Linked DNA regions of Arabidopsis thaliana. The protein of the gene in region 1 interacts with the protein of each later gene in a pairwise test. Each region holds a gene or a part of one and is shown on either strand. Other genes may lie near its edges.

Evidence for each region. Proteins that work in one complex are often made in the same cells at the same time.
Region 2: the proteins of AT5G16880 (region 1) and AT5G37890 interact in a two-hybrid assay, tested with the Arabidopsis thaliana proteins (one large-scale study listed by BioGRID).

Annotation. Positions count from the first base shown.
Region 1 is NC_003076.8:5,543,299-5,552,009, forward strand, and holds AT5G16880 (Target of Myb protein 1), read left to right. Parts: upstream 1-5,618; 5' UTR 5,619-5,813; exon of another isoform or gene 5,814-6,339; 5' UTR 6,340-6,359; coding exon 6,360-6,878; intron 6,879-7,164; coding exon 7,165-7,428; intron 7,429-7,535; coding exon 7,536-7,976; 3' UTR 7,977-8,211; downstream 8,212-8,711. Other genes in the region: TERT (telomerase reverse transcriptase), read right to left, coding at 1-146; AT5G16860 (Tetratricopeptide repeat (TPR)-like superfamily protein), read left to right, coding at 536-3,088; AT5G16870 (Peptidyl-tRNA hydrolase II (PTH2) family protein), read right to left, coding at 3,677-3,726, 4,098-4,124, 4,292-4,361, 4,620-4,689, 4,768-4,827, 4,941-4,999, 5,071-5,244; AT5G16890 (Exostosin family protein), read left to right, coding at 8,366-8,711. UniProt on the Arabidopsis thaliana protein: Might contribute to the loading of the ESCRT machinery.
Region 2 is NC_003076.8:15,086,760-15,095,112, forward strand, and holds AT5G37890 (Protein with RING/U-box and TRAF-like domain), read right to left. Parts: upstream 5,197-8,353; 5' UTR 5,064-5,196; coding exon 4,872-5,063; intron 4,422-4,871; coding exon 3,753-4,421; 3' UTR 2,919-3,752; downstream 1-2,918. Other genes in the region: AT5G37900 (TRAF-like superfamily protein), read right to left, coding at 7,144-7,725, 7,900-8,043. UniProt on the Arabidopsis thaliana protein: E3 ubiquitin-protein ligase that mediates ubiquitination and subsequent proteasomal degradation of target proteins.

The DNA of each region.
Region 1 (8,711 bases):
CAACCTTGACCCCGGCATCGGCATTGCTCCGGCTGGATATTCCGGTTAGGAATCAGATCTACTATTGCGTCGTTTAAATTCCTGGCTCTGTTTCCGAATAACCTCCATAGAATCTCCGGTACACGATGTCTAGGTTTACGCGGCATTACACCTTCCTCCTCCTTTCTCTCGAATTTGGAGAGAGAGAAGAGTGAACGAGCTTCGATAATGGAGTCTGATGGTGTGAAAGAGGCGGGAGATTAAAGGTCTTCTGGGTTCTCGAAACTATAAACTGCGATTTTGAAAATTTCAAAACAATTCAAAGCTGAGCTACAAACGCTATCCAAAGCGTCCACTCAACCGCAAACGCAGGTCGCTTAGCACATAAACCGAACCGAAATTCGCTTTAAATTTTAATCGGTCTATTATACTTTCTTCTTCTTTTCACATCCGGTTTCATTACTTTCTTCAAATTTCCAATCTAAAACCGGGATATAACCGAATTGATTTGTTTAGTTTAAACGCAGAAATCACCCGCCACTCTAGTTACAGTAGTATGATCCGCCGCCTTCTCATCCCCAACGCCGCCGCAAAATCTCACCAGTACATTAAAGTCTCTCTCTTCTCGACATCGGCGCCGGAGATAACACCGCCGTTTATTCACAAATGCAAAACCATCTCTCAGGTCAAGCTTATTCACCAGAAACTCCTCTCTTTCGGAATCCTAACCTTGAATCTCACTTCCCACCTCATTTCCACCTATATCTCCGTCGGTTGCTTATCTCATGCCGTATCTCTCCTCCGTCGTTTTCCTCCATCTGACGCTGGTGTCTACCATTGGAATTCACTCATTCGCAGCTACGGCGACAATGGCTGCGCCAATAAATGTCTCTATTTGTTCGGCCTTATGCATTCTCTGTCATGGACGCCGGATAATTACACATTCCCCTTCGTCTTCAAGGCTTGCGGCGAGATATCCTCCGTTCGTTGTGGAGAATCTGCTCACGCGCTTTCTCTGGTAACTGGATTTATCTCCAATGTCTTTGTTGGGAATGCGCTTGTTGCTATGTATTCCCGTTGTCGTTCATTGAGTGATGCACGGAAGGTGTTCGACGAAATGTCTGTTTGGGATGTTGTATCGTGGAACTCTATAATAGAAAGTTATGCAAAGTTAGGCAAACCTAAGGTGGCGCTTGAAATGTTTAGCAGGATGACCAATGAATTCGGATGTAGACCTGATAATATTACCCTTGTGAATGTTCTTCCTCCTTGTGCTTCCCTAGGAACTCATTCACTAGGGAAGCAATTGCATTGTTTTGCAGTCACAAGTGAGATGATACAGAATATGTTTGTAGGGAATTGCTTGGTGGATATGTATGCAAAGTGTGGGATGATGGATGAGGCAAACACGGTGTTTTCGAACATGTCAGTGAAGGACGTAGTATCTTGGAATGCTATGGTTGCTGGGTATTCACAGATTGGAAGGTTTGAAGATGCTGTTAGGTTATTTGAGAAGATGCAGGAAGAGAAAATAAAAATGGATGTTGTTACTTGGAGTGCTGCTATTTCAGGGTATGCTCAACGGGGACTTGGATATGAAGCTTTGGGTGTGTGTAGGCAGATGTTGTCTTCTGGGATAAAACCAAATGAAGTCACGCTTATTTCGGTTCTTTCGGGTTGTGCTTCTGTTGGAGCATTGATGCATGGTAAAGAGATTCATTGTTATGCCATCAAATATCCCATAGACTTGCGTAAGAACGGTCATGGTGATGAGAATATGGTAATCAATCAACTGATTGACATGTACGCTAAGTGCAAAAAGGTTGATACTGCACGTGCTATGTTTGATTCACTTTCCCCCAAGGAAAGGGATGTTGTGACTTGGACTGTGATGATAGGTGGATACTCCCAGCACGGGGATGCAAATAAAGCTCTCGAACTTTTATCTGAGATGTTTGAGGAAGATTGCCAAACAAGACCAAATGCTTTTACCATATCATGTGCCCTCGTGGCATGTGCCAGTTTGGCTGCACTAAGAATTGGCAAGCAGATTCATGCTTATGCGTTGCGCAACCAGCAGAATGCAGTACCGCTGTTCGTATCAAACTGTCTAATAGACATGTATGCAAAATGTGGAAGCATCAGTGATGCCCGCCTTGTATTTGACAATATGATGGCGAAAAATGAAGTTACTTGGACATCTCTAATGACGGGTTATGGTATGCATGGTTATGGAGAAGAAGCTCTTGGAATCTTTGATGAAATGAGGAGAATAGGTTTTAAGCTTGATGGTGTTACATTACTTGTTGTATTATATGCTTGTAGTCATTCAGGAATGATTGATCAGGGCATGGAGTATTTCAATAGAATGAAAACTGTTTTTGGGGTTAGTCCTGGTCCGGAGCATTATGCATGTTTGGTTGACTTGTTAGGTCGTGCTGGCCGGTTGAATGCAGCTTTGCGTCTCATTGAAGAAATGCCAATGGAGCCTCCTCCTGTGGTATGGGTTGCTTTTCTCAGTTGCTGCAGAATCCACGGAAAAGTTGAACTCGGGGAGTACGCTGCGGAAAAAATAACAGAATTAGCATCTAATCATGATGGATCATATACATTACTCTCAAATTTGTATGCAAATGCAGGGCGTTGGAAAGATGTGACTAGGATCAGATCATTGATGAGACATAAAGGAGTTAAGAAAAGACCTGGTTGTAGTTGGGTTGAAGGAATTAAAGGAACTACTACGTTCTTCGTGGGTGATAAAACTCATCCACACGCTAAGGAAATATACCAGGTCCTCTTAGATCACATGCAACGCATCAAGGACATTGGTTATGTTCCTGAAACAGGCTTTGCTCTTCATGATGTAGACGATGAAGAGAAAGATGATCTTCTTTTCGAGCATAGTGAGAAGTTAGCTCTTGCATATGGTATTCTAACAACTCCGCAAGGTGCTGCTATCAGGATTACTAAGAATTTACGGGTATGTGGTGATTGCCATACAGCATTCACATACATGTCCAGAATCATTGATCATGATATTATATTGAGGGACTCAAGTCGCTTCCATCATTTCAAAAATGGATCGTGTTCATGCAAAGGTTACTGGTGATGATGCTCTCTCTATGCACTCTACCAAACACGGAAGCAACCTGAGGGTTTTGACATGGCTACAGCAGATTTCAGGAACGATCTAAAGGGACAAAGAAAGGGATAATAAGCACTGTGTTAAACACCTCATGTAGATTATATAATTTAAGCAAATTTTGTAGATGAATAGCTTTCTTCTTTATTTTTGGTAGATAATCACACTCCATACCATGGGTTTATCTTCAATAAACAAGATCTGTTGTTACATTTGAAATGTTCATATAGCCAACACTCCCATGAACTGGCATTAGAACAAGCCATTTTCTCAATGTGCCAAAAAAGGCTCGAGCTTTTGATACTTCTAATACAAATCCAGCAAAAAAAGATGATATCACCATTGGTAGAGGGAAATGCTACATGCCCATGAAAAATGGGGAAAATGTTTTAAAATGAATATTTCGTCATCATCAGGAACGAGTATACGTAACAACTACAGATTTCTCACAGGTAACCTCGGGCGAACAGAGAAGGTGGAGTTCATGTCTCTCCTTTCTGCTTGGTCCATCTGAGAGATCAGGTTGAAGAAATGTCATATCGAAATTCGAATCTGCTAAAGAAGCTTTAGTCCACCTGTTACTTCATCAACAACTTCGACTGGTCCTGCAGAAGTAAAATCTATAAGCGTTGGAATGTTGTGTTAAGAAATGCTGATAATATCCGATAAACAAATTCTGCTACAAGAATCTCTAACTCCTGGTCATAGAACGGTGCATATGAATTTGGATACCACGCAGAAAGTATACACCCTCTTCTGACCGAGTCAACTTTTGAGCTTACATTTCATATTTTGGATTCTTATGAACTATAGATTCCATTCAGGGTCAAGGACAAGCACCAAGCAATCAAGAGAAGTCATGAACTAATAAACTAGTACATTTCTCTAGGGTAAGTGTGATTTGCAACTCTCAAACTCATCACTTGTCCATCAGAGTCTTAACTTTCAAACACATATCTTAAAAATAACAACTTACCAAGAATAGCCATAACCGTCCTTGAATCTGGAAAGAACATGACGTATTATTAGATTCACATTTTCGCAGAAAATGATACTTACGAAAGAAGATTGAATCAAGAGAGCTTTCTCCCTGGCAATTAACTAGCAATCATAAAGTTTAAAGCACCAAGGGATTTCAAGTTCAAGAGGGGAGGAACTTATGAAACTCACTTGGGGCAATCTGTGTTCTTCCAGCATCAATGGTGATATGGGTAGGCAGTTTAAGGGATTTAGCTCTTTCCTGACAATTTTGTGAACAGTCAATACAAGATATAAGAAATGGGAAAAATCAAGATAAGCTCTATGATATCTCAAATTCCCCTTAAGTATTCATGTATATGGTCAGAACTCAGAAATTATCAAGAAACTAACATCTGGCAACTCCTGCAAAGCCCGTGAAGATCAATTTGGCAACAGCACTAAAGCTGTGAATCCAAAATATAGTTCAATAAAAAAAATCCACTTTACAGTCTACTACAATTTGTTTTAGTAAACTCACTTGCAATTCTAGCATCTCGTCCTCGTCCTCGATTTTCACAACAACTTTTGGCTGTGCACATTCCTCCCAGCTGCAATAGCAACCTATACTGTTAATTCAATCCATATATTAAGTAACAAATGGAATTGATCATGACTTAGAGGCATACCAGTCCAATGCTTTTGGCGCTCGACGAACAAGCTTCTTGTATAATCCTAAAGTTGCATGACTGCAGAAATGCAGACCAATAAAACGAATCAGAATAAGAACACTCAAATGTAAGAATGATAAACATGAATTAAACACTTAAAATAGTAAAAGAGAGCATGATTAGTTTATCACCTGCATTGAGCTGCAATCTTTCCTTTACCCATTTTAAGATCATTTCTCACCACCAAAACCTGAGTATACAAAACTCAATTCAACAATTTTGTGATTCCATAACAGTAGAGAGAAAAATGTAGCTAACTACCATCTTGAAATCATCGAGAATATCAGCGAGTTTCTCAATCTCGAGTGGACTTTTGGAGGATTGAGTTTTGATATCCTTATCAACAGCAGCAACAACAGGTTTGGAACGGCGAGTGCCAATGCAGTATCCAAGTGCAGCTCCAACAATTAGGGCACTTAACCACGTCAAATCCATTGGCAAGATTCAAATACTTAAATCCTACAGACAACAAAATGATTGAATTTGAGTATCTAAAATTGAATTACCTCAACGTAATCTAGCTCAAGTTTCTACAGTAGAAAGGGAACAATTAAGATTCTCATCAATGGTCTAAAGAAGAGAATCGAAGAAAGCTTACGAGTTCGAGAGAGAGAAACGGCTCCGATGATGAAGTTTTTTTTCCTGAAACCGGCGTGAAGATTTTACTGGCAAGAAAAAAAAAAAAAAACATTTAATGATCGATTATTTTTTGGTTCGTTGGATGAAATTGCGTAACGTGATTGGTTGATATGAAAAAAATAAAAATAAAAAAGCATATCTTTTTGAAAATAATGTTTAGCGTAAAGGAAGGGAAACATAGTCAGGATAAAGTAATTCCCACGACCAAACACTTAAAAAAGGAACGCAGTTTTCTTCTTCTTCAGGATTTGTACGGCGTCAACGGGCATTGACCTTGTCGCAGATTTTCCTCTCTAGTCTCCGTCTTCTATTACCAGATCGAGCTTTGTTCTTCGAGCTTCTCATCTCTTTGTTCAATCTCAAAGGTAGAAATTCGCGTTAATTTACTTGTGATTTCGCTGTTTTTTGGTTACTGTTTCCGTGTTGATCGATCTAGTTCTGGGTTTTTCGATCATATGAAATGTTATTTTCCTTATTAGGGTTTTTGTTGACCAAAACGAATTTTTCTATTTTCTTTCGAATTTTGATCTTCGAATATCGAATTCGGTTTTTCTCAGCAAACCCTAATTACATTCATCCGTAAAAAACTGTTTAATTTCTGGTTAAACCAGTTTCCTTGAGCAAATTTTGTTGGATCGAGAAGAATATTTGTATGATCGAAGAGATCGTATCTGAAAACCTGGTTTAACCGGGTTTGAACCTTTTTGTGTATTTGATTTTGTATGAATCTCTGCAGAATTCGTAGGTGTATATTATTGATTGTTAGTATTTCCTTTCGTGCTCGTTATTGTTTAGTATCATTGAAGGATACTTGAACAAGTTGATGTTTCAGCTGCTTTCTGGTTTGTTCTGTATGTACAATTCCAGGTTCTTGCTGTTTTTCATTTACAGGTTTTTGAGTATCAGCAAAGATGGGTGACAATCTTATGGACAAAGTTACCGCATTTGGTGAGCGCCTGAAGATCGGAGGTTCGGAAGTGAGCAACAAGATCAGTGCTGGTGTGAGCTCAATGAGCTTTAAAGTGAAGGAACTTTTTCAAGGTCCAAACCCAACTGATAAAATAGTCGAAGATGCTACTACTGAGAATCTAGAGGAACCTGACTGGGATATGAATTTGGAAATTTGTGATATGATAAATCAAGAGACAATTAATAGCGTTGAGTTGATCCGTGGTATAAAGAAGAGGATTATGATGAAGCAGCCGAGGATTCAGTACCTTGCCTTGGTTTTGCTCGAGACGTGTGTTAAGAACTGTGAGAAGGCGTTTTCAGAGGTGGCAGCAGAGAGAGTCCTTGATGAAATGGTAAAGCTGATTGATGATCCACAAACAGTTGTTAATAACCGAAACAAAGCTTTGATGCTGATTGAAGCTTGGGGAGAATCAACCAGTGAACTTCGCTACCTACCAGTTTTCGAAGAAACTTATAAGGTAACTATGACCTGGTACCAAATAATTTTACGCTATTAAATTCAACAATACAGTTTCATTTACAATACTTTATTGAAGATACCACTATCTTATGTTGAGTTGAACTGTTTTGGCCAAAGCATATGGGTTTTGAACAAAACAGACAAATGACTATTGTTTCAATGAATTGGCTCAATCGACTAGCTTGTTGCAGGAATTGATTGAAAAATGAAAAGCTGTGAGGTCTGATGTCAGAATTCATTATGATTAGGTCTTTAATGTTTTTATATTTTTTCCTATACTATAGAGCTTAAAAGCAAGAGGTATTCGCTTCCCTGGACGAGACAACGAAAGCTTGGCACCTATTTTCACTCCTGCTCGGTCAACTCCAGCACCAGAACTGAATGCTGATCTTCCTCAGCATGTGCATGAACCTGCACATATCCAGTATGATGTGCCTGTAAGAAGCTTTACTGCTGAGCAGACAAAGGAAGCTTTTGATATAGCAAGAAACAGCATTGAACTTCTTTCCACGGTTCTGTCCTCCTCGCCTCAACATGATGCTTTACAGGTAAATTGACTCGGAATTATTAGGCATCATTTCCTGTAATTCTAATGTAATAATGGATATAACATGGGATATCGGCGATATATTTTCATTATCTCTCTGATTTGCAGGATGACTTAACAACGACACTTGTACAACAATGTCGTCAATCTCAAACCACTGTCCAAAGAATCATTGAAACAGCAGGTGAAAACGAAGCCCTTCTTTTCGAAGCCTTGAATGTGAACGACGAGCTAGTGAAAACGCTGTCTAAGTATGAGGAGATGAACAAACCCTCTGCACCGCTAACCTCACATGAACCAGCCATGATTCCCGTTGCTGAAGAGCCCGATGACTCTCCAATTCATGGAAGAGAAGAATCTCTGGTTAGAAAATCTTCTGGTGTTCGAGGTGGATTCCATGGAGGGGGTGGTAGTGGAGATGACATGATGGATGATCTTGATGAGATGATATTCGGTAAGAAAAACGGCTGTGATTCTTCGACTAATCCAGATCATGACCCAAAAAAGGAGCAGTCCTCATCCAAAAACGACGATCTCATTCGATTCTGAGACGGATACTTTCAGGCGACATAATAAATCTTTTATAATGTATTTGGTGTTTAATTGGTAGTATGAATGAACAGGTTCAATGTAAGTAATCTGTGTTTGGAGATCTCTTTGACTTGTGTGATGGTTTATAAAGGAGATTTGTTATGATGGCACATGAGATTTGAAATACATTCTATTCTAGTTTCTGCTATCAAACACATTTTGACATCTATCCAATTGCTATCGTGCACATTTGAACACAAACTTTGTTTCAATTTAGCGTTTACAGTCGCAGACGCAATCGCGGTTAAGTGAAGCGCATCGTCACTTTCCACATTCATAGTAATATGCAACAACTGAGTAACAGAAATTTGTAATCGAACTCAGATTTCGAAGAAGCAGATCTCACAATGTCTGGAAAACAGCAAAATCATCGTTCTACTTCCTCCAGACCCAGATCCAAAACCCTAATCCTCATCGGCTCTCTCTTCACCGTCTCTCTACTCGTCATCCTCTACACCTCTTCTTCCTCCTCCCGAGCCTCCATCTCCAATCCCAACCCGTCGGACCGACCAGAGACGTCCTTCGTTACCTCGCTTGAGCATTTCTTAATATATAAAGCTCCGAAGCTCTCGTTACCGGTTAGAGACGACACGGTGCGTGGCGAGAGTGATGATGATGTGAGGAAGCTCGATGAGATGGTGTTCGAGAGAGAGAATCGTTGGTTGAACGAAGATCCGGGATATCCTGTTGAAT
Region 2 (8,353 bases), 9.5 Mb from region 1:
TATAAACTAAAGCTAGATTTTTGTTATTTTTATATTAAACATTTATCAAATTAATCAAAAGTGCTAATTATAATATTGATATACAATATAAGTTTTGCGTTTTATTTAAATCTATGAAAATGATATGCAATATTTTTTTAACTGATATATTTCAAATTTGTAAGTTGTTTATATCATATTGATTTTAGTATGTGTGTAAATTGTAAAATATTCAAAGTTGTGAGATTAAAAAAGTCTTGATTAATTAAAAGATTAACATATATGAATATTGATATATTGATACTAATTGATATTAATCAAAAGAACTCAAATACTTTATATGATCAATATTCAAATTATTTACTATTTCTTCCATCATTGAAAAATATGGTAAGAAATTATTGCATTTAATTACTAATTATTTACTATATATACACTTGTGGAATTTAATAAAGAAGTTTAAAGTTATTTTGATGTGCATAATCATATATTGAAGAAAGGACACAATAATACGGTTGATAAATAAAATAAATGTAAATTTTAAAATACAATTAAACAATTAGAGTATAATGTAACAACTTACAACAATAATCTAACACACGTATACAATTACCAAATAAAAGTCAATAAATTATATGAGATATATCATGGTTTTTACTGATTTCTAACATAGTATTAGAATGGTTTTTATAGTCTTTCTAATCTTTTTTGTATCTTTTTTAGTCATTACAGGTGCATATCTACTTTTAAGAGCTATGAAGCATAATAAGGAATTTTGGAAGCTTTTCAGGAAAAGAAGACAAGCAGAAACATTATTCATACGTTGGTGTCGATCGACACCACGTCAGTATCGATCGACACCACGTCAGTACCGATCGACACCCTTATCGACAAGGATATTTCTCACGTATCATAAAGTCTTTAAGAAGTCTAGAAATTTTTCTTATTTGTAAAATAGACCCTGCACGTTTTTACTAACCTATATTATATATATACTAGATATTAACCCGCGGTACCACGGGTGGATATGTTCATTAAAAAATTATAGATAATTTTTTTAAAAATTATTAATTGTATATAAATAATATATTCTTAACACATAATTTTTATTTATGTAAAGCTTCGATAATTCATTTTTATGTTCTCATATTTGTTAGTTAATTATGAAAATTCAATATTTATTTTTATGGTTTGGGTTTTTTAGAGGTAATAAAGATTTAAAACTTGTATTATTATTATTATTATTTTTTAACTTGTATTATTTAGAGATTGACCCGCGGTACATCCAGGGTTGAAATATTTCTTAGAAAATTAGATATTTTATTTTTATTAATATTGTTTATATATATAACATATTCAAGAGGTACATCAAACGTCTATATTTTTATTAAATTAAAAATATTATTATTGTTTTTAGGATGATCTATAGATACATGCTATTGTCTTTTATGTATGATAGTATGATACACCTCTGTATGATTTTTATAACTATTTTTTTTTAGTGTTTAAAATTGTATAATTGTATCATTCCGTATTAATATCGATCCAAACCTATCCCACCATATAACCTCGTCCCGTGAAATTAAACATCATTTTATCATTTTTTTATGAAGTTCGAATAATTATAATATTAGAAACTTCAAAAAAGTTTTAATATGGACCAAACTTCATAATTGTATATTGATTGTTACATATAGGATTTCACCCGTAATATATCGTTCAATATTAATATATTTTTAGTATTTATAATATTTTAACTTCTTATAAAGTTCAAATATTTACAAAATTTACAACTTCATAAAATTTTAAAATTTTTAAATCATTAATATTAAATTTATTTTATAGTTATTAACTTTTAAATTTTCTTAAGAAATTGTAATACTTAACTTTTAATAAATTTTAAATATATATAATATTTTAAAACTTTAAAACTTTTACTTATTTAAAATAAAGAACCGGAGTAAACCGAACAATACTTTTAATTTTGGATGTTTGATATATCAAGGTTCCTTCTCATTCGTATTCAGAATCACTTAAATATTTTTTATAGTATGACTCTTAACGATGTCCCAAATTTTTAAGCAATGTGGGACCTTTAAAACTTTTTTTTTTATCGATGGAGTATTATATGTCTGTTTTAAAAAATTTGAATTTTATCGGATGCAAAAAAATCTAATATTTTATTAAATATATGTATTTTATATATAAACTAAAATAGCTATATATAAAAACAAAGATAATGACAGAAAAATTATATATTTATATTTAATGTTGATATATAGATTTTAGGAAATTAGCCTTAATCGAATATAGTTCAATAAAAAAAAATTTAGTTAAGGATAAAAAATTAGGAAGAGTTGATTCAACTAATTAATGCAATTCAACTAATTGTAAGTTTTTAGTTATAAAGTATTTGATTGAGATTAAATTTGTAAGGACTAATATTGAAAATAGTAAATAGGTGAGGGATTTTTGGTCAAAAACCTTAGCAAAAATATATACATGTAAATATTTTAAGATTATTGTTTAGACCTAAGCAAGTTTTGTGTGAGAGATATACTTTTGGAGAGAAGAATCATATCACTAGCAGAAAAAGAAAAATATTTAACTTAATCTGCGTTGTAGACTTGTCGTATTTTCCTTGTTTAATTTTAAAGTAATAACAAATACTATCATGTATTGTATTGTACACTATTATTTTACAGTTGTCCAACGTGAAGTCACGATATGTTCTTGTTCCTAGATGGGATTCGAAGTCTTGCTTCTTCAAACTTCCAATCGTTAGAAACAAGATCCGGAAAATCCGAAGTCTTGATAATTGAACAGCTCTCCGAAATCAATAATGAACGACTTTCTTTAACAAAAAAACAAAAAGAAAAAAAAAATAATGAACGACTTTTTTATAACAAAGAATATAAAAAAGCTTTCAACTAAAACAAAAGAAAGCTTAGTTGTATTCACAAGTTTTTATATTAAATGGCTGGCTAATATATATATGCAAGGGGAGAAGGAGAAGAAGAATATCACAAAAATCGATCCAAATCTCCATATTAGCAGCCATGAGTTCAATGGGTGTATTTTGTAAGGAGGAAATTGGTGGAAAACCGAATTTGGTATACACATTAACACAAACAGACAACCCAACCTCTTCTGGTGAGGCCCTAACCATGGATTCTGGTGAGGACGATCTCCCTCTTCAACCTCTTTTTTTCTGTCCTATGGGATATAATTATATGTCCATGTATACTTTCTTAATTATATCATCCTCCATATATATATATATTTAACTAACCTTTTTTATAATTCATGATATATACTTGATCTTGCTAAATTATACACACTTTTCAAGAACTACAACTCCAAAACTGAACATATTTTGTAGAACTTCGCTAGAATCCTCAAATCCTCAAAACAAAACTAGTTTTTGTAACTTTTAGAATCTAGTAAAAGGGCAAGTTTCCAACTTCGTTGTTCCTAATACAGAGTTTATAACAAGAAACACCAAAACCTGGAAGAATTTTAGTTATCAAGAAATAAGAATCAGAAAGATGGAAAAATCTTCTTGGAAGACAGGAATCGTCAATGCTTCATAGCAAATGGCCTATGCATAAATTATATCTTAGTTTAGATTGAAAACATTGTGAAACGTTTTGTTGGTCGATTGCACCAAGTCTCTAAAATTACAACCCTCATCAACCATAACGACTATGGGCGGGTTAAGATAACTAAAACGAGACAGATAAGAGTTTTCTAACAGGAAGACCCCAACCTTCTTACTCTTTGTTCAACTTCTTGACGCTAATCCTCATTTCCAACACATCACCACGCAATAAACTGTTGGGAATCAACATGAAATTCTCTTGCGGGGTTTGAAAACTCAACTTAAGAACCCTCTTCACCTCTGGTGATTGGTAAATCACAGTGTGTCCATCGACAGTGTAAGAGAGAGCATATGAGTACTGACTTAATTCTGGAGAAGATGGCGCAATGCAGCTTACAGTTACATACACACCATACGGCTCCCTGAAACACTGCACTGCAAACAAATGATTCGTCAAGTGTTCCGTTCTAATCAATATCTTTTTGCTGATGTTCATCCGGACACTTAAGGGAATGTCACAAATGAACGTATTAATCTGGTTTATTTCCATATGGGTAATACGATAGTGAGTGTACAGATCCTTGTATGAGCTAGTGTAATTGCAATCCAATGCAGGGCAGGCGCAATGAGAGAACATGCATTCCTTTTCATGAGTTAACTCTTTCCCATAAGATACATTCTTTTTGCAACCTAACTTGGCGTTCGGACACGGGATCAAGATCGATTCAAGAACACTCTCCATTGCTCTGCAGCGATTGTGGCCAACAGGCGAAGTACACGCAGGGCATTTGTTATTTAGTTTGGGACAGCAAGAAGAACAAGCCAAATGTCCATTATCACACTGAAATTCAAAACCAATAACTTGTGATCAAAAGCTATAACAACGTCGAGATAATATTCATCGAATCGACCAAGGATAATAGTTCTCTCCCCAAATGATTCTCCCATATAATTCATGATATAGACAAGTTATACACATATTTTCAATAACTATATACAACTGCATACATGAACATAACTTACTAAAGTTCACTAGAATTCTATAAAATCATCACAAGCTAAAGCTTAAGGACACTCTTGAAATCTAGTAACTAGTAAATGGGCACAATTCCAACTTCTTCTCTCTGCAATTTCTTTAACATAACTTTCAAAAGTTCACTAGAATCCTCAAAAGCTAAGGCTACTCTTAGAATCAAGTAAATGGCCACAGTTCCAACTATGTTCAGAGTTCTAACCAAAACAGAAACTTTCTGAAAAATACGAAATGATTCAATTTGAGAAATTACGAAACCTGGAAGATGGGAATTGTGAAAGCTTCGTAGCAAATGGGACAATCGAGAATCTCCAGATCCATTAGCATTGTCGAGCGTTTCTTAGCGTCTCTCTTAGCTGCATCACTAGAAGAAAGTTGTCTCTTTTGCGAGAGAATGCTGTTAGATCCAATTCCTTCGCCGGGAGATTCCAAAATCGCGGCACCAACCATGTCGGAGAGATGACTAAACCCTAAATTCGCTTTTAGTCTTCTCGAAAACTGAGAGAGGCAAATAGAGAATTTAGTTGATTTTGTTCATTGATGGATGGTTTTACAGAGAAAGGAGACAATGGCACAAACTATAGATGATATGGGCTTCGATAGTTCTTCAATTCCCAATTAAGGCCCATATAATATATAAACAATACCTTTTTTTGATAAACTTATAAACAATATCTAATTTTTAAGTCTATTAATATTTACAATATAAAAGAATATAATTATATATATAAAACCATTTAAAAATTAATATTAGTCTTAAAGTTTATGTATTTTTTAATTCTTCAATTCCCAATTAAGGCCCATATAATATATAACAGAAACAATGTCTAAATTTTACAAAATACAATAATAATTATTTATTTAGTCTTAATAGTTTATGTATTTTTTGCTACATTAATTAATAAGCTAATTTTTATTTTTAAAAGTTATGTAGCTTTTATTTATTTTTTTGTCAAAAATGTGGTTTTGAAGTTGGGATTTGGGGCAATCACAAACCACTAGACTAATTTTACCTTGGAAGATTGATAAAAATAGCAAAAAAAAACAATTTCTTCAAAAATAGCAGCTCATTTGAATAGTTCCAAAATTACACTCAAAACTTTAATTAATTATTAAATATTTAATATAAATAACTAATTTAATTAAATAAATAAAATTAAATATTTCTCGCCAAAGATTTTTGTCAAAATTTTCTCACAAAAAAAAATCCGTCAAATGTTTCCCATAAAAAAAATTTAGGAAAGATTATTATACGAAATTTGGGAAGGATTTCACGGAATTCATAAAAGATTTCACAAAAAAATCTTTCCTAAAACTCTTCCTGAATTTTGTAGAATCTTTCTTAAATTCAGGAAATGATTCTTTGAAAGATTCCACGACATAGATGTCACTCCATTCAGTATCAGAGTCCTGACCTCTTTTCTTCAGGTAATTTCTAAATTTAATATATCATAGTGTTGACCTCTATTCCTCAAGTAATTTTCAAATTAAATGTTTAAAAATTCTTTTGATTTTTGGTGGTAGACTGCTAAGATTAAAGAGTCCGATATCTACATGATGAAGATAATGGAGTGCTATACAATGTAAGCTAGTAATTCAAACCTTGAGGAAAATATTATTGGAAACGCAAGGAAAAAATCGGCGGTTGATTCACAGAATTAACAGATATATAGGTTAGTATATGCTTAAACCAATATAATTTCAATAACCATATCGTTTGCAGAATTAACAATTTATGAGTTATATAGTTCATTTTTTTTGAATAGGGTCAATTACTATGCAGAAGTAGCAGATTGCTAATAAAAAAAAAGTTTGTGTTAGCATATTCATAGAGCATTCACCCAAATGATGAATTTGTGTACTTTTTGAATTTTTTTAATTGTTAATTTTAATAATTAAAAATAAAATAATTATTTGAATGCTATTTTGTCCAAAAAATGTTTGAGTGCTATTTTTTTCCAAAAACTTGAAATGGTGCTATTTATGGAAATTTCTATTTTAACTTTTGCTATTATTTTTTCTGCTAAAGATTTAAGAATTTTGGTATTAGCTTTTATATTCTTAACTAATATGTAAAATTGCAGTTAAAACTACCATATTGGAATTCTTTAATCATTGAATCACAATTCACAACTAAATTTTTTCTTCTGCTTTTAGACATCACACGTTCGTACGTTTACTTATAATTAGATTTCGACTAAGAGTAGAATAAAAGATGGAGACCATAATCATGACAAACGAAAGAGCACGCATTACTCCAATTTGGTCATGCATAAAGTATAGCTTAGAAGTTATTAGATTAAAAAACTGTGAAATGTTTTGTTGGTCGATTCCATCAAAATTTCCATTATCACTCTAAATGCACAAAAACGTGTTAAGCAATACCAAACAAATTGCATCAAAGCTGAATCAAGCCGTTAAGCAATTACATCGGATCTTAGTTCGTCAAAACTTATATAAATGTCAGACGAGATAGAGAGAGTAAAAAAATGACATTCCTTCCTTCTAGTTCTATATCACCTCAACATTCTTACTCTTGGTTCGACGTTTCGACGATAGAAAGCTTAATATCCAACAATTCACTACGCAATAAATTGTGAGGTATCAACATGAAATTCTCTTGAGGTGTTTCAAAACTCACTTTACGAACCCTCTTCATTTGTGGTGATCTGTAAACCATAGTGTGTTCATCCACAGTGTAGGAGATTTGATATGAGAACTGTCCAACTTCTGGAGCAGATGGTGCAATGCAGCTTACGGTTACATACACACCACACGACTCCCTAAAACACTGCACTGCAAACAATATTTTCTTCTCATATACCCTTGTAATTTGTATCTTATCGCTGATAAGCATCGGGGCCTTATATGGAATGCTAGATCTAAAGCAGTTAGTGGTCCAGTATGAGTTCGAGATGTGAGTCAGTTTATAGTGATCATAGAGATCCTCGTATCGGCCGGAGTACTCACAGTCCAATGAAGGGCATGAGCATAGAGAGAAAATGCATTCTTCTTCATGAGTTGATTTTTTCCCATATAAGAAACTCTCGGTGCAACCAAACATGTCGTTTGGGCATGTGACCAATATCGATTCAAGAATATTCTCCATTGGCTGATAAAGAAAGCACAAGCAGGGCATTTGTTCCTCAGTTTGGGACAGCAAGAAGAGCATGCTAAATGTCCATTCTCACACTGACATACAAAAAAAAAAACACTGTAAAAATTTCAAGAAAAAAAATATGTATTAAAAGCTGGAAAAAAACAATTTTTAGACAAGAAACAAAACCTGGAAGATAGGACACGTCAATCCTTCACAGCAAATAGGACAATCGAGGATATCAAGATCTAGCAATGTCGCCGAGCGTTGTCTCTTAGCCACTCTCTCCCCTCCATGACCTTGAGATATCAAAGCTTCTAAGGCTCCCACCATGTCACCTAGATATCAATAGTAAAAATATTATCATATTTTCATTAATCAAACAATTTTAAAACATCCTCGACTGATGAAGGCAGAAGAGTTTGTTCGAAACTTTTATAAGACTTCCGTACCAAAAAAAGTAAAAAAAAAAAAGAGTGTTTAAACGCCAACTTTTTAAATCTCAAAACACAAGTCTGATATCTCTTAAACAACGATGGATAGATCTATTTGTAGAAGACAACTTTTAATACATCTCTTAGGAGTGGTAAACACAAATCCAAACTAACTAAGGAAAAGGAAACTAACCAGAAAAAGGAAATCT